Linked DNA regions of Stegostoma tigrinum. The protein of the gene in region 2 interacts with the protein of the main gene of each other region in a biochemical or structural test. Links are inferred from orthologs where the notes say so. Each region holds a gene or a part of one and is shown on either strand. Other genes may lie near its edges.

Evidence for each region.
Region 1: of the proteins of myelin basic protein (region 2) and cdk9, one has a biochemical effect on the other in vitro, tested with the Homo sapiens proteins (2 studies listed by BioGRID). The link is inferred for Stegostoma tigrinum from reciprocal best matches to the Homo sapiens genes MBP and CDK9.

The regions. Positions count from the first base shown.
Region 1 is NC_081382.1:34,258,187-34,268,384, reverse strand, and holds the start of cdk9 (cyclin-dependent kinase 9), read left to right. Parts: upstream 1-5,988; 5' UTR 5,989-6,004; coding exon 6,005-6,147; intron 6,148-9,001; exon of another isoform or gene 9,002-9,120; intron 9,121-10,198. UniProt on the Homo sapiens protein: Protein kinase involved in the regulation of transcription.
Region 2 is NC_081358.1:41,216,790-41,227,812, forward strand, and holds the start of myelin basic protein, read right to left. Parts: upstream 4,996-11,023; 5' UTR 4,981-4,995; coding exon 4,960-4,980; intron 1-4,959. UniProt on the Homo sapiens protein: The classic group of MBP isoforms (isoform 4-isoform 14) are with PLP the most abundant protein components of the myelin membrane in the CNS. They have a role in both its formation and stabilization.

The DNA of each region.
Region 1 (10,198 bases), on a different chromosome or scaffold from region 2:
TATATATGGATGGATTTATTTAAATATCAATGCTATCAATTCTAAGGCAGGAATCTGTTTAATATGAATTATGCAAAGAATGACAAATAGTGAGAGTAACATAATCTAGGAGCTTGGCAAACATTCCAAACCAAATAGACTGAAACTTGACTGGATGTAACTTATTAAACATGACAACATTGTGTTCACAAGTTCTAATTCTTGATATAAATATCTCAAGTTTAAAGGAAATATAATATTTGCCTCTTGCTTGATTAAGAGAAGAAAATGCTCAATTTGTTGAGAAATAAAAACTATTAATAGAAACCATCAAAAGTAATTCAAAAAATCATTTTCCAGCGATTGACATTATAGCTTGTAGCTGATGATAACTGGAAGAGAAATATTATTTTCAGAGAAGTAAGGTGTATGAGGTTTTAGAAGACTTGCAGTCCATTCAGCACATGAACGTTGTCTACAGAACAACTCAAGCTGTTTTTATTGTACTTTTTTCTGTCTGTTGGCTGCTTTCATTATCAGAATCCTCTTCTTAAGACACCCTCTTCCCAAACACATTGCAAGCAAATCCCAATTCATAATGCATCCATCATTAATACATGTAGTGACACGTTATCACCTTAGCCGCCTTTCATTCAAATACTTCTCACGAGATTTGACAACAAAGTTATACTCCCTTCACAAAGTCATTTGAAGGTTTTCTTATCATATTCAAGTCTGAAGAAATTTGCCGGGAATTCGGTGTCAGGCACTGAAGCTCCGATGAAGCAAGAAACTGTTGAATAGCTGAGAGCAAAAAATGGTTATCATTGCTTCTGAGTTATAGCTACAGATAAAAGTGAAAGGCTACTGAGTTGTTGAGTTTTTAATGTCTTTGATGAGGGATTATTTTCTGTCAACATATAGTAACGTTGTTATCTAGTAAACACATATTTAAGATTATAGACAGTATCTTATCTCAGTCATAATTTTCATGTTACTAATTTGTCAGTCACAGAGAGGGAGGTACATCAAAAAAAACAGTGCAGAACCATTAAAGAGTCTTGAAGCTAGAATGTTTGTAGAATGAGTCACTAATTCCCTGAATAATTGACTACAATTGATTGTACAGCACTTTGTTTACTCTGGGAGCATCTGCAAAGCCAGTTCCACATTTCCCAATGAGTATATTTATGGAAATAACAGCCCCACACACTGTTACATTTCTTGTCAGCAAACCCTCTAAAAATTATGACGAATAGAGTTTTGCATCTTTGTCAATGTGAATGATGCTTAAAAGAAGCCTTGCCTGGAGTATTAACCTTGTTTCTAAGTATATTTTATGTTGGCAGCATTATTTATTGCTTGTATCCCTGGCTGCCCTGAGCTTGGTCCAGCTGAAAGGTTTATAAAATCACTTCAGAAGGTTGTTTAAGAGTAATTGCAAATTCAGCACAGGTAGTAAAAAGGAATAAGAATGGCAGGATTTTTTTTCCTTAAAGTGAGTCAGTGAATAGGTCTCTTGACCAGGATCCCATTAACAAAGCTTCCATTGAACCCATGTCCAAAGGTGGTGGTGTAAAACCCCACGCTGGAATGTTAGCACGCAGTCTCGGATGAAAATCCAGTGCAATACCTTTGCATTTCTTTTCATCGTGCATGGGAAATGTTTCAAAGTGTACCTCAGTATAGAGGTGTTGTTATAATGTTGCACTGTCTTTCCTTGAAATTCTTTGACTTGCACATCCAACAGTAGTCACTAAGTTATGGTCATAACCTCAGGGTTGGTTTAATAATATCCAGGTGAAATATCACCAGCAGCAGGTTTGGTCTATGTCCCTTTAATTACTTCATAGTCCTTTGTGGATTGGATCTGAATCTGCACATTTATCAGAGACAGCTGCAAAGTAAGAATCATTCCTTATTTTCCTTTCTACCCTATGGAATTCCCTGTATGCTATTGATCCATTTCTTTACTGTCATCTTCTAAATTATTTTTAACAGATATGTTGGACATGTTAGGAAGTACCGCTACAGCAGGTTGGACTGACCTTCTGTACCACCAGACTCCGGAACATTCCTGTTCAGTTTTGTACCAGGGACATTTCATGTGTAGGGTGAATGTGGTAATCACTAAGGTGCAGAAACAGTGATTGTTTTCATCTTCTGTACTGATTGATCATCTTGCCGTCCAATAGGGGGCAAGTGGACCTAGTAGAAAGCCCTGATAGACTCTCCCTAGTGCCTGGATCCTGGGTGCATTATGCTGCTTGCCAGAAAGGCCTTAAATGCTTTCTTGAACCTCTTCACTGACATATAAACTCTCCCCATGCCCTATTTCAGGATCAGGACTGTTTTTCTTATCTGCAAAGTGCCAACATGAATGATACTTAAAAGAAGCCTGGCCTGTAAACTTAAGGGGCAGCTCCTCAATTTCTGGTTTCACATCTTGGTCATATTCCTTGTCTTTGATGGGCAGATTGAAAGGGAGATCAGAGGTGTGTGGAAAGAAATGATGAGCCAGGGTAAAATGGGTCAAGATTGGACTGCTATGACTTTTCTTGCCGTTGTTAGACCCAATTCATGCTTGGTTGAGCATGGAATTTGATTACATGTTTTGATTGTCTATTGATTTACCTTATACCTTCTGTAACTTGGGGCCACTGAGGGACATGATTCATCCATAACATGATAACCTCACCACTCCACTGTTTATGAAAATTTATCCTCATTCGATCAAATCATGGGATGTTTATGATACACAAAGAGGCCATTTGGCTTGTTGTGTCTGAGCAGTCTATCTGCAAGAGCAGATCATAGAGTGTCAATAATCCCACCTATGACAACTTTTGCTCTACAATTTGGTATACATTTTTTTACTCATTTTTCATATAATGATCCAATTATCTTTTGAAAGGCAGATTAAATCATGTCTTCAGCACAGTCTCAAGCGCAATTCTAGATCCTAACCATTCACTGTGTGGGGAAAAGATTTTCCTTACATCTCATTGCTTCTTTTGCCAATCTCCTGAAAGCTTTTTTTTTCCTGTTTCTGGACCCTAATGGGAACAGTTACACTTAATTGATTCTGCCCTGACATCTCGAGATTTTAAACATTTCTACCATATTTCTCAATCTTCTCTTCTCTAAGGAGAAAAACTTGGCCCCTTCACTTTATCCACGTAACCAAAGTTCCTCATCCCTGGAACCATTTTCAGGAGTTTTTTTTTGCATCATCTCTTAAGTCTTTCAAGTGTTAAAACTTAAAGAGGAAGGTATAGAGGAATGTGACTAATTCAGCAGCTCCAAAAAGATTGTCACATCCTCCCTGAAGGTTTGTGTAAACAAATAGACTGCTATTCCAACTGAGGCCAAAAGCTAGTGTTTCATAAATGCTCATCACCATTTTGATCACCTTTCTCAAACTGCTTCAACACCCTCAACAACTTGTGCACATATGTCACTGGTCTCTTAGTTCCTTCAGTCATACTCAATTCTATTCTTTATTTTATGTTGCCTGCTCTTGTCTTTTCTACCAAAATACATCACATTGCACTTCTTTGCATCAAATTACACCTGTGATATATCTACTCATTCCCCACACCGACCTGGTTGTGTGCTTCTGGAGTTGAGTGCTATCCTCCTCACAATTCACAATATTTCCAAATACTGAGTTGTCCACAAATGTTGAAATTGTGTTCCACACACCAAAACCTGAGTGAGTAATATATATCAGGAATAGAAAGATCTTGAACATGAGGTAAAATTCAGGCATTGAAATGCCTTGAAATATTTCCTTATATTAACATTTCTGAGTAAAAAAAAGTTGAGTTTGGGGATATGTTAGTGTTGGTTCAGATCCAAAATAGCTCAAAATGGGAATTAATTCAGGAAATTCCAAAGATGTCCCATTATCTAACTGTAGTCATAGAGTCATACAGCACAGGAATAGATTCTTCAGTCCAACCATAATCCCCAACTAAACTAGTCCCATCTGCCAATGCTTGGCCCATCTCCCTCCAAGTATTTCTTATTCACGTACTTACCTGAGTGACCTTTAAATGTTGTAACTGTACACACATTTACCACTTCCTTTCGAAGTTCAGGGGAGGCAGTGTGGATCTTGCAGATGCTCCTGGGATTGCAGACATAATCAAAGATTTATTATAGTTTTTCTTACAGTTATTACAGTCATGATATTTTACTAGTATAAGATGTTTTATTCATTCTGTTTTATTAGAGTACAAAAAAGCCAAAAAACAAACAAATAAAATTGTGATTTTCTTTTCAAATGCACTGTTTTTAAACAAGCTTTTCTACAGTGAACAGCTGAGGTATTTTTAATTCTAAATTCAGAAATTTAAAAAAGACTATATGTGTTTTAGCGGGTGTTTTCTTTTACATTGCAGAAGTCTTTTCTTGAAAAACCAAGCAGATTTTTTTAAAAGCAAGGAGTTGTGTTTTTGTTTTGGTGAGTCCTACATATGGTTGGCTCTAGAGAAGACTTTTCTTTTCCTTTGAGCAATTTATTGAAGAGGAGTTTTTTTTATTCAGTTAATCAGCTAAATGGTTGATTTCATTTAAGTTTTATCTGTTTGTTTTTTTTCATTTTAACATTATTTTCTGGAGGTAATGAAAGATGTTTTATTTTCAGTATAAGGTGTTTCTGAAAATTCTTTTAGGCATAGTGTTATTAAGGCCTTATGTAAGGTACAGAGTGAGGTGGCTGGCAGAGTTAGAAAGGCTTTTACATGGCAGGATCTGTCAGATAGATGGGTGACTTGGGAAAGGTAAGGTAGTTTAAAAGTCTCTGGTGACTATTCCTCTATCAAATAGATATTTAGCTTTTGGAACTGTAAAAGGGGATAGTCTCACCAAGGAAGATGGAAGGGGCAGTAAGTTGTTGGGGACTTGGAATAATCCTTATGTTAGGCAACGCTTTACAAGATTTAATAGGATTATTGTAATAGAGGACTCTGCTGTCAGGGACATAGACAGGAGATTCTGTGGCAGTGAGCATAACTATAGGATGGTTTGTTGCTTTCCTTGTGCTAGGATTAAGAACAACTCCAAACATTTCAAGCCTATTAAAGGTGAGATTGAGAAGCCATAAATTATTGTACACATTGGTAGGAATGACATTTTTAGAGACAAGATTAAAGCAGTACAGAGTGAATTTAAGAGGTTAGGTAGAAGATTTTAAAAAAAGAACCTTAAAAATAGCAATTTCTGGTTTACTCTCAATGCCAAACTTAAACAAGCGAAGCAACAAAAGGCTAAGGCAATAAATCAATAACTGAAAAGCTGGTGTATTGTCCAGGGATTCAGGTTTTTGGACAATTGGAATGTCATTTAGGATAGAAAAGACCTGTTGAAAAAGAATGAGTCTAACCTGAACTGGACAGTGACCAATATCTTAACAGGGAGATTTGCTCATTCCATTAAGGGAGACTTAAGGGAGTGGAGGAATTCTAAATAGCAGCGTAAATAGAAAGATTGACAGCGAAGGTTCTGAATGCGAAGAGACCATGTCAATTAGAAAAGAGAGAATCATAGTATGTAGTAACCCTGAAAAACTAAATTGCACTTATTTCATTGAAAGGCATCTTATGGGTAAGGCTGATGAACTCAGGGCATATTTAAGAACATGAGACAGGGATATCAAAGCTACTTCTGAAACTTGGCTGAGAGATGGACAAGGCTTGGCAGCTCAATGTTCTGTGAATTAACTGAACCAAATGGTTGTAGAAACATGAAAAAGTGTAAGAAAAATGACAATGAGTCATTCTCCCTAAAATTGAGCTTTATATTTGCTGATTTCAAAATATGCATGAGAAGACAATGAAGTAGGAGTTTTCTAGGACACTGCGGGTGAACTCCGCTCCCTATTGGAACTGCTACCAGCTGCTTTTGTGGCTGGGTCGAGACAGAACGGTTGCAGCTGCACTCCCGGCCGATTGGTGCCGCTGTCTGTAGCGGATGTCGGCTACATCACAGCGTGCCGCACAGCCGGCCGCCCCGGAAGTAGATGATGGCGAGGTGCCCGGATGGTGGGATGAGTGTCAGGCTCAGCGCCGACATGATTAAACATTATGAAGCGCTGGATTTCCAGTTCTGCGACGAGGTCGGGAAGTACGAGAAGCTGGCGAAGATCGGGCAGGGCACTTTCGGGTGAGTCCGGTTTGGGAACGGGTGGGGGGAAGGGGCAAGGGAGCGCGGGGCCTGAGGACTGAGGACTGAGGACTGGATGGTAGAGAAGAAGAGGAAAGAGAGAGCGACTGGTTGGGGGAATGGGAGAGAGAATGTACAGGACTTTAGGGAAGGAAATCTGTCTTTATCTGGTCTCGCCTATATGTGAGTAATTCATTCTAACCTTATCTTCAAATGGAATCAACAAATCAAATTCGCAAAAGTGATCTGAGCTTGTTGAATGTTTTCATGACAGCCTCCTGGAAGAATATGTTGTGGAACGGAAGAGAGCATAGTTACTTGTAAATCTACGATTGTGCTTTGAGGCGGGGTTAATGAGTGGTCTCATAGTGAGAGATCCACTGTTAAGAAGATTAACTGAACTCGTCCTTACCGCTAACAACTTCTCCTTCAACTCTTCTCACTTCCTACAGACTAAGGGTATGGCCATGGGAACCCGCATGGGCCCAAGCCAGGCCCGCCTCTTCGTAAGATACGTGAGAGAGCCCCTCTTCCACAGCTACACTGGCACGAGCCCTCACCTCTTCCTCCACTACATCAGTGACTGTATCAGCACTGCTCTGAGCTCCCACAAGGAGCATGAACAGTTCATCAACTTTACAAACACCTTTCAACCCGACTTCAAGTTCAATCATAGAAGCCCTTCAGTGTGGAAACAGGCCCTTCGGCCCAACAAGTCCACACTGACCCTTGGACCATCCCCCCCCTACCCCCCACTACCCCCCCACTACCCCCCCACTACCCCCCCACTACCCCACTACCCCTACCACCCACACATCCCTGAACACTACAGGCAATTTAGCATGGACAGTTCACCTAGCCTGCACATCTTTGGGCTTTGGGAGGAAACCGATGCACATTCTCTCCGTATCTGCAAACTCCACGCAGACAGTTGCCCGACGCTGGAATTGAACCTGGGTCCCTGGCGCTGTGAGGCTGCAGTGCTCACCCCTGAACCACCATGCTGCCCTTGTTCACCTGGACCTCTGTCTCCATTTCCTATGACCACCTCGAAACTGATATCTATTTCAAGCCCACCGACTCCCACAGCTACTTAGACTACACCTCCTCTCACCCACCTTCCTGCGAGAATGCAATCCCCTGCTCCCAATTTCTCTGTCTCTGCTGTGTCTGCTCCCAAGGTTCCACTCCCAAACATCCCAGACATCCCCTTGTTTCAAGGACTGCAACGCTTCTTCTCCCCACCCCCAAGTGGTCGAAAATGCTGTTGAATACATCTTTTGTGTTTCCTGCAACTCAGCTGTCATATCCCCTCCCTGCAACAAAAACAAAGACAGAATCCCCCTTGTCCTCATGTATCATCCCATTAAACCTCCAGATTTAACGTGTCATTCTCCGCCACTTCCACCACCTGCAATCTGACCCCACAACCAAGGATATATTTCCCTCACCACCCCTATCTGCCTTCCGTAGGGACCACTCTGTCCGTGATTCCCTCATCTGCTCCACACTCCCAACTAGGTCCACCACCCCCAGCTCGTTTCCCTGCAAACGTAGGAAGTGCTACACCTACTCCCTCACCTCCATCCAAGGAACCAAAGAAAACTTTCACATAAGATCGAGGCTCACCTGCATATCCGCCAACATGGTCTACTGCATCCGCTGCAGCTTCCTCTGCATTGGTGAGACCGAGCAGAGGCTCGGAGACCACTTTGTAGAACACCTGTGCTCTGCTCACGACAAACGATACCACCTTTCAGTTTCAGCTCCCACTCCCACTCCATAGATGACATGTCCATTTTGGACCTCCTCCAGTATCACAGTGACACCACCCGGAAACTGGAAGACCCGCACCTCATATTCTGCCTTGGGAGCCTACAACCGAATGGCCTAAATCTGGACTTTTACTAGTTTCAAAGTCTCCCCACCCACTGCCTCATCCCACCTTCAACCCGCCTTATTGACCTGACACAATCTGTCCATCTTCTCTCCCATCTACCTGCTCCTCCTGCTACCCCCTACCTGATCTCACCTATCATATCCCGTCTACCTTCCCAGCACCCCCCCATCTCTATTTATTTCTGAGCTCCCTTCCTCTTCCCCCATTTCTGAAGAAAGGTCCTGACTCGAAACGTGAACTTTCCTGCCCGACCTGCTGTGCTTGTCCAGCTCTACATTGTCCTATCTCTGACTCTAGCATTGGCTGTTCTTACTATCGCTGTTAAAATGTGCTCATCATACACTTAATTTTCATATTAAAATTTAGCATGATATCTCAAAATAAGGATATTAAACAGGGCCAGTTTAGAAGATGAGCTGACTAGGGTTGATTGGGTGGACTAAAAGCTTTGGTAGTAAATGACTAGTGGGAAATCTTTATATAAAATCATTTAAAATTTTTGACAAAAATACTTTCTACCAAAAATAGAAACAAGGCTAGAAAGATCCACTTGCCACTTACTGGGGAAATGAGGATGGTAATAAATAAAAGAAGCCTTTAAGATTGCAAAAGATTGTTCTAATTGATTGTTTCAGAAACCAGAGAAAATCAGCAAATAAGTTGATAGAAGAAAAAGTAGCTTAGGAATAAACTAGTTGGGAATATAAAGACAGATTTTGACAGCATTTACAATTATATCAACAGGAGATCAGTGTTATGATCCCAGCTAATGGAGATAAAGTAGAATGTTCCAAGCCATCTACCTACAGTGCAAATTCAAAGATCTTTAGTCACAATAAAGTATTATCCCTTTAATACTAAACACAAAAATAAAAAAGAAACAAAACTGCTTTTGTATAGTACCCAAAATGCACTTCTGATATCGTCCCAAGTGGCTGCTCGCACAATACTTACTAGAGTGTCTGAATGCTTTTTAGGTTGATCTGTGGTGGCCGATGATGAAACTTGAACTCATTGAAGAGATATTAAATTGTTGATCCTATTGCCTTTTCAGGTATCAGCTGACATATCAGACAAAGAGACACTCAAACAAAAGTCTACTACTCAAATCACCAACAATATACAGGCATTCGATTAATGTTTAATAATGTTACATGTAACTCATTATTCCAGCTTGTCACTAATTAGACTAAATTGCAAGACTTGTGGCTTGGACTTAGCTATTAACCGTGCGAAGTGAACTGCAGAAGTTCGCTCCAATGGGGCTTGGTCACCTTTGAGTTCTGAACTCAGGGTATTTCTTCCACAATGGTTGTTCCTGGGTCATCGCTACCGATGTCTCTGATGTTTCTTCTTTTACCTGTTTTCTTCCAGTCTTTCAGGAACATCGAAAATAGGATCAAGAGCACCATTTGGCCCTATAAGCCCCTGCTGCTCTCTTCATTATGAACCATGGCTGATCATCTCACTCAATAGCCTGTTCCTGCTTTTCCCCCTTTTTGATCTCTTTAGTCCAGTCCATGTTTAGTGATGTACCACTGCCCAAGATCCACGTGATTCTGAGATCATCAGTCCAAGAGTCGTGTAAGCAGGACACATCATCTCCATTGTACTTCCATTAGTCCTTAATTTATCAACTGTTGCAACAATAAAAGTTGAATGACGCTCAGCACCAGACACCCGCAGAATGATTTGTATTGTTGAATTCTTTTCCCATCGTGCTTTGTTGAGGTTTCACTGTTAGCCATATCTTTACATCTACTTCATAGAAGGAAACCTGCTGTCCTTAAACCTGGCCTGGTCTACATGTAACTCCAGCCCAATAGCAATTTTGTGCATTCTGACTTACATTTTGGGCAATAAAAGCTTGCCTCGTCAGTGATACCATCCCAGGAAAAAATAAAACATTAAGGATGACAAGCTGTAATTCAGAGTGCTATAAGGATTAATGCTGGGTCTTTTATAATCTATATTAATGAATTAAATAACAGGATTAAGAGTAGCTTATCTAAATTTGCTGAGGATACAAAGTTAGATGAAAATGAGGAGAGTACGAAGCGGCAGCACAAGTGATATAAACAGGTTAACTGAGCGGGCAACAAGGTGACAGTTGGAGTATAATGAAGGAAAACTTGAATTCTATTATTAATT
Region 2 (11,023 bases):
AATGTCCCACTCCTGTTCCTAACTCGTAAGTGTGTAAGTGCTTTATGAAAAGGGATGTGTGAGGCTGGAAATGGAGGAACACAGACATAATAGAGAATTGAGGGTCTGAAAGTGGTTATATTAATCAGGAAGGGTAGGCTCTTGATTCGACCAACTTTCCAGGGTACTTCAGTGAGGTAAAGGGAGAAGAGCACACATGAGTTCTACGTCTAACAAAAAAAAATCAAAACGTTCAGCTGAAAGAATTTTGGTAAATATAACTGACATGTAAAAATACATAGTGTTTTCCATTATTAATTCCATCAGCACACATTATGCATCATTTTGTTCTATTAAAAGCACTACATAAAGAAAAGTTCATTGTGTTCTGTGGAATAGCATCTTACTTGTATATATTATAACTAGGAAGTAGGTCCATTCACCAGATGTCTCCTATTCAATTGATTGGGAGCAGCCCATGCACCTTCTCCCACCAGCAGACCAGCTCATACGTGTAGGTGTCCCTGTAATTCTTTAAATCTGAGTGGCAACAGCCTCCCACTATATTGTTGCAGACGCCAGAATGTTATGCTGTTATTTTGCCAGGCTTCTGGTGGTGGTGCTCCCTCTATTCTCCAGTAGCTATCCCCTGTGCTGGAGATGCAGTTTCATGGGAATATATAGAACTTGGGCAACAAATACATTTTGCAGTGGACTGAATGGTGTTTTCCTAATTCTATACCTTTTATTTGTTCATGTCCTTACACAGACTCTGATCCGGTCATAATTACTGGGCAACCTTGGAAACCATTGAATCGATCTGTCGTTTCTCAGCAACTTGCAAACTTTCAGTGACACAATTCTGCAAGATTCCAGCCCTGCCCGAATGCCCATTGAATGCAACAGTTCTATGAATTTTACATTGGTAAAGGCTCCCTACAGTGATGACCCAATTTTTACTTTTCGAAATGTGAAATGTCTTTCCAATCGATCCTTGATTAAAAGAGTTCATGCTGCTTCGAGCTCTCAGTAATTATTGTGAAAGGAAAAATGTCTTCTTTCCATCAGCTCACATTGTATTGAAAGCTTAATCCTGGAGGGCAGTGCAGCTAATTAATCTAGAGCATATAGAATATTTTATTTCAAATGCTATAAATAACTTCACTTGCTGCATATTTTAAATGCATTGACAGAAAGAAAAGTAACTTCCATTTGTAAAGGGTCTTTCATGAATTTGGAATGTCTCAAAGCACTTCACGATCAACAACAGTGTACAATGGCCTGCCCATATTATCGCTAGACTATTATCCAGAAACCCAGCCAATATTCTGGGGATCTGGGTTTGAATGCTACCAGGGCAGATGGTGAAAATTGAATCCTATAAAGATAATGGTTTGGAATTAAGAATGTACTGATCACCACAAAATCAAAGCCAGTTGTCGGAAAGACGCATCTGGTTCGCTCATGACCATCAGGGAAGGAAATCTGCCATCCTCACCTGGTCAGGCCTATATGTGACTCCAGACCCACAGCAATGTGGCTAATTCTCACTTGCTTCTGAAATGGCCAAGCAAGCCACACAGTTGTACTGGTTGCTACTAAGTATCAAAGAAGTGAAACGAGATGTATCACCTAGCAAAGAACTAGCCAGCGGACAATGGCAGAAACAGCCCTGTCAACCCTGCAAATTCATCCTCACTAACATCTGTGGTTAGTGCCAAAATTGGGAGAACTGTCGCACAGACTAGTTAAGCAACAGCTTGACATAGTCATACTGACAGAATCACATCTGAGAGACAATGTCTCAAACACAACCATCGCAATCCCTGGATATGTTCTGTCCTACTGGAAGGACAGACCTAGCAGAGGTGGTGGTACAGCGGTATACAGTCAGGAGAGAGTTGCTGTAGGAGTCCTCGACATTGACTCCAGACTAAATTAAGTCTCATGGCTTCGAGTGAAACATGGGCAAGAAAACCTCCTCCTGATTACCACATACTGCCCTCCCTCAGCTGATGAATCAGTACTCTTCCATGTTGAACAATACCTGGAGGAAGCACTGAGGATGGCAAGGGCACCAAATGTACACTGGGTGGGGGATTTCAATCAAGAGTGGTTCAGCAGCAATACTACAGATTGAGCTGTTGGGTCCTAAAGGGCATAGATGCTAGACTAGGTCTACTGCAGGTGGTGAGGGAACTGACAAGAGGGAAAAACATAATTGACCTCACCTTTATTAATCTGCCAGCTGCAATTGTATCTGTCCATACAGTATTGGTATGAGTGACCATCACACAGTCCTTATGGAAACAAAGTCCCGCCTTCACATTGAGAATAACTTTCATTGTGTTATGTGGCAATATCACCGTGCTAAAACGGATAGACTTTACCCAAACCTAGCAACTCAAGACTGGGTGCCCATGAGGCACTGTGGGCCATCAACAGCAGCAGAATTGCAATCCAGCACAATGTGTATCCTTATGGCCTGGCATATCTCCCACTCAACCATTACCATCAAGCCAGGGAATGAATGCTGGTTCAATGGACGGTGCAGGAGGGCATGCCAGGAGCAGCACCAGGCGTACTGAATGATGAGGTATCAACCTGGTGAAGCCACCAAACAGGACTACTTGCATGCCAAACAGCGAAAAGAGCAAGTGATAGACAGAGCTGAATGATCCCACAAACAATTGATCAGATCTAAGCTCTGCAGTCCTGCCACATCCAGTTGTGAATGGTGGTGGACAATTAAACAACTCACTGGAGGAGGAGACTCCACATATATCCCCATCCTCAATGATGGAAGAGCTCAGCACTTCAGTGCAAAAGATAAGGCTGAAACTTTTGCAGCAATCTTCAGCCAGAAGTGCCGAGTGGATGATTCATCTCGGGTTCCTCCAGTGGTCCCCAGCATTACAGATACCAGTCTTCAGCCAATTCAATTCACTTCATGTGATGTCACGAAACGGTTGGGGACACTGGGTACTGCAGAGGCTATGGGCCCTGACAACATTCCAGCAATAGTACTGAAGACTTATGCTCCAGAACCTATTGCTCCCCAGGCCAAGCTGTTCCAGTACAGTTACAACACTGGTATCTATCCAGCAATTTGGAAAATTCACCAAGAATGTCCTGTACACAAAAAGCAGGATAAATCCAATCCAGCAAATTAGTCTGCTCTTAATCACCAATGAAGTGATGGAAGGTGTCATCAACACTGCTACAGAGTAGGACTGACTCAGCACCTGTTTAGTGACACCCAGTTTGGGTTCCACCAGGGCCACTCAGCTCCTGAACTCATTACAGCCTTCATTCAAACATGGTCAATAGAGTTGAATTCCAGAGTTGAGGTGAGAGTGACAGCCCTTGACATCATGGCTGCAATTGGCCAAATGTGGTATGAAGGAGCGAAACTGGAATCACTGGGTATTAGGGGGGCAAAATTTCTGGTATTTGGAGTCATCCCTGACACATAGGAAGATGGACATGGTGTTTGGAGGTTAATCATCTCAGCTCCAGGGCATTTCTGCAGGAGTTCCTCAGGGTAGTGTCCTTGGCCCAACCATCTTCAGCTGCTTCATCAAAGACATTCCCTCCATCGTAAGGCCAGAAGTGGAATCTTTGCTGATGATTGCTCAAAATTCAGTACCATTTGCAAACCCTCAGATACTGAAGCAGTCCATGTTCACATGCAACAAGCTCTGGACAATATCCAGGTTTGGGCTGATGAGTGGCAAATGACGTTCACGCCACACAAATACCAAGCTATGACCACTACCAATAAGAGACAATCTAACCAGCACCCCTTGACATTCATTCATGTTACCATCACTGAACCCCTCACTATCAACATCCTGGGGTTACCATTGACCAGAGACTCCACTGGACTCACCACATTAACAGAGTGGCTACAAGAGCAGCTCAGAGGCTGGGAAAACTGCGGAAAGTAACTCACCTCCTGACTCCTCAAAGCCTGTCCACCATCCACAAGGCACAAGTCAGGAGTGTGTTGGAATGCTCCCCCCCACTTGCCTGTGAGTGCATCCCCAATGACACACAAGAAGCTTGACACTATCCAGAACAGAGCAGCCTGCTTCATTGGCACTATATCCAGAAGCATCCACTCCCTCCACCACCGAAGCTCAGTTGCAGCAGTGTGTACTACCTACAAGATGCATGGCAGAAATTCACCAAAGACCCTCAGACAGCACATTCCAAACGCACAACCACTTCCACCTAGCAGGACAAGGGCAGCAGACATATGGGAACATCATCACCTTCAAGTTCCCCTCCAAGACACTCACCATCCTGACTTGGAAATATATCACTGTTCCTTCACTGTCACTGGTTCAAAATCCTGGAATTCCCTCCCTAATGGCATTATGGGTCAACCTACAGCAAGTGAACTACAGCAGTTCAGGAAGGCCGCTCAACACCACCTTCTCAAAGGCATCGAGGAATGGGCAAGAAATGCTGGCCAGCCAGTGACACCCACATCCCACGAAAAAAGAATCCACTATTGAAATGTAGGAAATACAGCAATTAAAATGCACTTGGAAAACTCTTCCAAGCAGCAAAGAGACTGACCAGATTGTCTATTTTAGTGGTATCAGAAGAAATAATAGGCAAAACACCAAAGGAACTCTCCTGTTTTTCCTAAAAATAATGCAATGGGATCTATTTTACATTAACCAGAAAGAACAAACAGGAATTATTAGCAGCCAAAATTCTCTTCTGCATCAAGGTTATCTTGAACTCAATTTTTTTACTGACTGCTGCAAATTTGATTTGCAACAAACCCCAGACATTTTTCAATACCTGCAATCAATTTTGGAGTTTAAATTGAAGAAGTAACTTCATATTCAATAACATTCACCGAACAATCTTTGGGAACTAGTAATTGTCGTCTACTGAAACAAGCTTAAACCCAAAAAGACTGAAACAAAGCAAAAAAAAATTGTAAGTTCACAGGAGACCTACCTGTAAAGATGACCAGATCATTAGCTTGGAGGCAGATAATCCCCTTCACAAGAGCACAGGCCTGAAAGAACATAACTTTTTACAGATGCTCTTGATTTACATCAGCAAGGAAATGAAGAATGAGTGCTTCTAAGAACCTGAGACATTAGACTGAAATTGAATAAATTAATGAAATTAGGGCAAATGCATGGGCCAGAAGGTACATGTCCCACCCTCTCCAGACGACCAGTTTCAAAATATCTAAAAAAAGATCAGGTCAGAACTGAGAGGTGATACTTAGCAGGGAAACAGCGAAAAGGCTGCAGTCATTTTGTCTTGATTATAGTCTAAGGTGTTTAAAGGTTTTATGGAGAAGCTGTAGAACAATGTTTCTCGTGTAGAAGAAATTAAAACTATAGCTAGAAATATGCAATAGTAACTAATAAACCTTTTTGTTGACTTTCTTTAGCTAGAATTAGGGATGTGGAACTCACTACAATATGGAATAGTTGAAATGAATAGCACAGATACATTTAAGTGGAAGGTGGATGAATACATGAGGGGTAAACAAATAGAATGATATACTGACAGGGTGAAATGAAGAACAGTGGAAAGAAGCTTTATGAGGGTACTACACCAGCACAGACTAGTCGGGCAGAACGCCCTGTTTCTACGTTATACATTCTGTATAATTACTTGAAAATTTTACCACATCTAATGTTACCAGTACCTTATTTTTACAGTTAGGTTGGAAAAGTAAATGGCCTGATTTATGTGCAAATCTGTAACCCATTCTAAAGTGTAAATAGGCGTGGAGCTGAAGGGTCTAGGCCCGAAACATCAGCTTTCCTGCTCCGAAGATGCTGCTTGGCCTGCTGTGTTCATCCAGCTCCACGCCTTGTTATCTCGGATTCTCCAGAATCTGCAGTTCCCATTATCTCTAAAGTGTAGGTGCTCTACTCTTCAATACAACTTTACTGCCTGTATCTCATGCTGCAACTTATTCTGCACTTACAAAACATGAATCATGAATAACTCAACACCCATGTGTCACACAATTGCAATAAAAACTGAGAAAGGTTTGTAGTTTGACCATTTGAACATAGTTTGGCATACTTCAGAATTCCACAGCACAGAAACTGACCGTTCACCTAATTGATCTATGCCAGTCTTCACAAGCCTCTTCTCTTCCCTATTTTGTTTCATACAAGCAGTATATCATTCTACTCTTTTCTCCCATGAATCTATCTAGCTTTCTCACTTGGCTGTTATTGGATGCCCATTTTGTGCTGTGACCAAAGTCTTTCTCTAAACATTTCTGTCATTACTCTATTATATTTTATCCATCAGCCCCGAACCATAAGTGAGGAGGCTATGGTGTAAAAGATGAATAACTATATGTTTGAAAATAAAAAAACTTAATAACATGCAAAGATTACTTGAGATGAATTCAACAGAACATTTGCGAAATGGTGCAATTTAAGTGTGTAAATTTAATACAGTTAAATTTGCGATACCTGGCATGCATCAGGAATTGATGATACCACTAAATCAAAAATGCCAAAAAAACAGAAGGAGGGCTGACTTTAATATCATTCAACCATTTGAGTCCTTTTGATAGGTAATGAGCTTGAAACCATATGCAAGTTCTGACATGCCAAAAGGATCATTTCAGTGAACCCTGTGGACAAAACCTATTGAACTGCCTTACACTGTTTCCCTTCACCAATTGCAGCCAATTTTTTTGGTGTCTGCCTGTGACTGTCTATATGTGTATATAGGGTAAGTTTACTGAGAGTTAGGGTTTTAACTGGTAGAGTTACATGTCAACAGCTCATAGTTGTTCTCGATAAACTCTACTTATTTATAACAAATAGTTATGTTAAATACATAAGTATTCTGTTAAATACAGAAACCTGTCTGAGTTTTCTGTCAACTGGGTCCAAAACACAAGTAAATTGGTGTATTTTGTCAACTTTTATAAAATGTATAAGTTTGGCGATGCCTCTGGGAATAGCGGTGCTTGAGCGTGCTGCCCTAGTGAGGTGTAACAGGGATATCCAGCATCCCTGCGTGATATTCCAAGTTACTCTGGGCCAAGTACAGGAGCATGTCTTTTGCTTGGAGTTGAGCTAGGTGTCAGGTCTCTGAGGTGCCTGAGATGCAGCTTCCTTTGAATTGCAGCAGTGATGTGTTAGTAATGTGCTCACAAGATGGTGATGCTGTATGTAGTATAGGCAGATAACCCAATGAGGTGGAACTCTCTGAGCTGGTGGAGGGTGCATCTGCTGCGGTTTCAGAGCAATCATGTCAGAAATGGTACTGATGGGGAGAGGCTACGCATCTCTTTTTCTTGGCGGTGTGTGTTAACTACTCATACCTGTAGAAGAGAAAGAATAAGTTGGTGAACATGCACAGTCCTTATATAGATGAACATGTGGAACGACACAACTGAGAAGTGCAGTCTATAATCTTCCTTACTGACTTCTCCTGCCATTCTGATCTTTCTATTGACTCAGGACTGGTCACTATCCGCATCTATCACTCTGCTGCCTGGACCATATAAGGGAAGAAAACTCAGCAACTCTGCACTGGTCTTAGCCTTTTCGGCCTCTTGTCCTGCAAGCAGAGAAGGAGAAGGATTGTGTGTCCTTGGTACTGGTGCAGGAGCACTTTATGACCATGTGTCCCGAAAGTAGGCTTCCCACAAGTATTTAGAAAGTGCAATGCCTGGGAAACAGAATACTCAGAGCATAAGGTGTGAGCCCTTCAAAGCAGATCATGGGTAAGAGACTGAGGCTTGCAGGCCAGTGGCTGAGTTAGACTAAGTGATGGCCCTAAGAGATTGATCTTGCAATGAGGAGCACAGGAGACCATTCATGAATGCTGAATGATTTATTTATTGCCACCAGCATTACAGTGAATAATACAGTAAAATTATACAGTGAAAAGCTTCAAAAGTCGCCACAATCCAGCGCCATTTTGAATAGTTTGAGAATGAAAAGGATAAAAGATATGACTGAAAGAGAATCCTGAGCCCTGAGCCGGATCACCAACAATACCTGTGCCACGCTGCCACCTACGCTGGGCCCACCAACATAGGAGTCGCTGCCCTTCCTGTGGCACACTGGCACTGACCCAAGCGCCTGAGTCTGATGGGAGCTGCCAATACTAGAGGACAGCACTTATCTGGGTTCTCTGGATGGCATTGAGCCGAAACCTGATGAGGCTTTCATAAACCTTGGAGCTGATTTGTTCCTGCTATATGACCATGAGTGAGTAGGGAAGGGAGTAGCTGACGCAGGCTCTCTTGACTCTGCAGCTTGGCGGAGATTGAAGGGATGCCTCAGGTGGCTTTTTATGTATACCAGCAGAACCTTCACACCTGGGAGATCCTGGCAGGATCAAGAACCTCTCCCCACCCACCCCATATCACTTACTGTTGACGTCACACTATGACTCACTTCCTTATAAAATGAGCTGAAAAAGGTACAGTCGTGCAAGAAAATTTGCCCTAGGTCATGACAGAATTGATGCTCTCTAAGATGCCTCATGTCCTTCTTTAACTTCAATATGGAAAATCTTGGCTGTGGTGTTTGAAATCAAAAACAGGGTTGAATGAGGTCTGCGACAGCAAGTAAGCACATATAATAGCATTAGCTTTTCACTGTGCTGCTATTATACTTCACAATGGCCGGGTGAAGCTTGTTTTGTTGTCATGACAACACTAAGGTACCAGTTGTCATCAGTACAGTTTCTTGTTTGGCGAATTGCTCCTGGTCATTTAGGGGAACATCAGAGTTTCTGATTGGTGGAGCATCCTGGTTTGTACAGATAACATTTGGAAAATACAAAATTAACTGTATGTATTGAAAATAAACCTTATCCAATTTATGTAATGTTTAATTTACTTGAAATTTCTCACACCTCTATTTTCCCAACAATAATTTGAAACTTACAGCTACAGTCGGCAACTTTTTCAGTTTCTTCATGAGTTTTCATAATTAAGTACGTATCACAATTCTGATGTCCAAGGTACTTCGACCCGTATGAAGGTATTGAGGTGGGTACGTAATATTTCCCTTTCATACGTTAGGCTCAACTGCCAACAACAAATGACGACTGGGAAAACAAAACAAAAACAACTGGTAACAAACAGTGTCAACTTTTGTCAACTGGTCACAGTTTTCAATTAGCAGTGGATTAAACTGCTGTGATCAAACTGTGCAACTCTTTGTCTCAAGTCAAGACTTCTGTAGCTCAAAGAGTCACTGTTCTACATCTTGAGAGCCAACCAATTAACTCTGTAAGCTGTAGGAAAAATACCCCATCAGATGAATGAACTATTTTACTGTTATCAGTGATGTGTGTCTTTGCATTGTGACAGAAGATCTTAATTATTGTTTTGTCATCATTCATGTGATTCAGTAGATTATGACATACCTCAAAATGCATTAAATAATCCTTTGTGAGGTCAGTTGGAAGGAATATAAGATTCTACCTCAGAAGTTATGGATTGGAACTTGGGTCTATAGGACAATGATAATTTTTTTTTGATTGCTTTTAAAAAGGGACATAAATAATGTTGCAAAACACAAGACTGCTGGGCTCAGTCCCCATTTACTGCCATACGATTGGGGTTTGCCTAATGAAGAGAAATTGAGCAGATTGAACCGACTCTCTGATGTTTAGAAAAACAAGATGCGTTCTAGTTGTGGTATTTAAGATGCTGAAGGGGATTAACAAAGTAAAAGTAGAAAAGATGTTTCCTCATGTGAAGCGGTCTAAAATGAGAGTTCATAGCTTCATGATAAAGTGTAGAAACAGAAATGAAGAGAAATTGCTTCTCTCAAAGGGTCATAAATCTGTGGAACTCACTAATCCCAGAGTGTGATGGATGCTGTGTCAATGAGTAAATTTTTTTTCTATTCAGTTTTGGAATGGGGGTATCACTGACTGGCCAGCATTTCTTGCTCTTCCCTAGTTGCCCTTGAGAAGGTGGTGGTGAGTTGCCTTCTTGAACTGCTGCAGTTCACCTGCTGTAATTTGACCCACAATGCCATTAGGGAGGAAATTCCAGGATTTTGAACCAGTGACAGTGAAGGAACAGCGATATATTTCCAAGTCAGGATGGTGAGCGTCTTGGAGGGGAACTTGAAGGTGATGGTGTTCCCATATATCTGCTGCCCTTGTCCTTCTAGGTGGAAGTGGTTGTGGGTTTAGAAGGCGATATCTGAGGATTTTTGGTGAGTTTCTGCCATGTATCTTTTAGATAGTACACACTGCTGCTACTAAGCATCAGTGGTAGAGGGAGTGGCTGCTTCTGGATATAGTGCCAATGAAGCAGGATGCTTTGTCCTAGATAGTGTCACGCTTCTTGTGTGTTGTTGGGGATGCACTCATCCAGGTAAGTTGGGGGGGTGGGTGGTGTGGTGGTGGGGGGGCAGTATTCCATCACACTCCTGACTTGTGCCTTGTGGATGGTGGACAGTATTTGAGGAGTCAGGAGGTGAGTTACTGGCTGCAGAAATACTAGCTTCTGACTTGCTCTTGAAGTCTCTGTGTTAATGTCGTGAGTCCAGTTGGGTTTCTGGTCAATGGTAACTCGCAGAATGTTGATAGTGAGGGATTCAGTGATGGTAACATCATTGAATGTCAAGGGGTGCTGGTTATTTGTCTCTTGTTGGTGATGGTCATAGCCTGGCATTTGTGTGGCACAAATGTCACTTGCCGCTCATCAGCCCAAACCTAGATATTGTCCAGATCTAGTTGCATTTGAACACTGACTGCTTCAGTATCTTAGGAGTTGCGAATGATGCTGAACATTGTGCAATCATGGGTGAACATCCCCACTTCTGACTTTACGATGGTGGGAAGGTCATTGATGAAACAGCTGAAGATGGTTGGGCCCAGGACATTACCCTGAGGAACTCCTGCAGAGACGTCCTGGAACTGAGATGATTAGCCTCCAACAACCACGACCATCTTCATGTGTCAGGTATGACTCCAACCACCAGACTGTTAGCTCCCTGATACCCGTTGATTCCATTCTTGCTACGGCTCCTTAACACCACTCTCGGTCGAA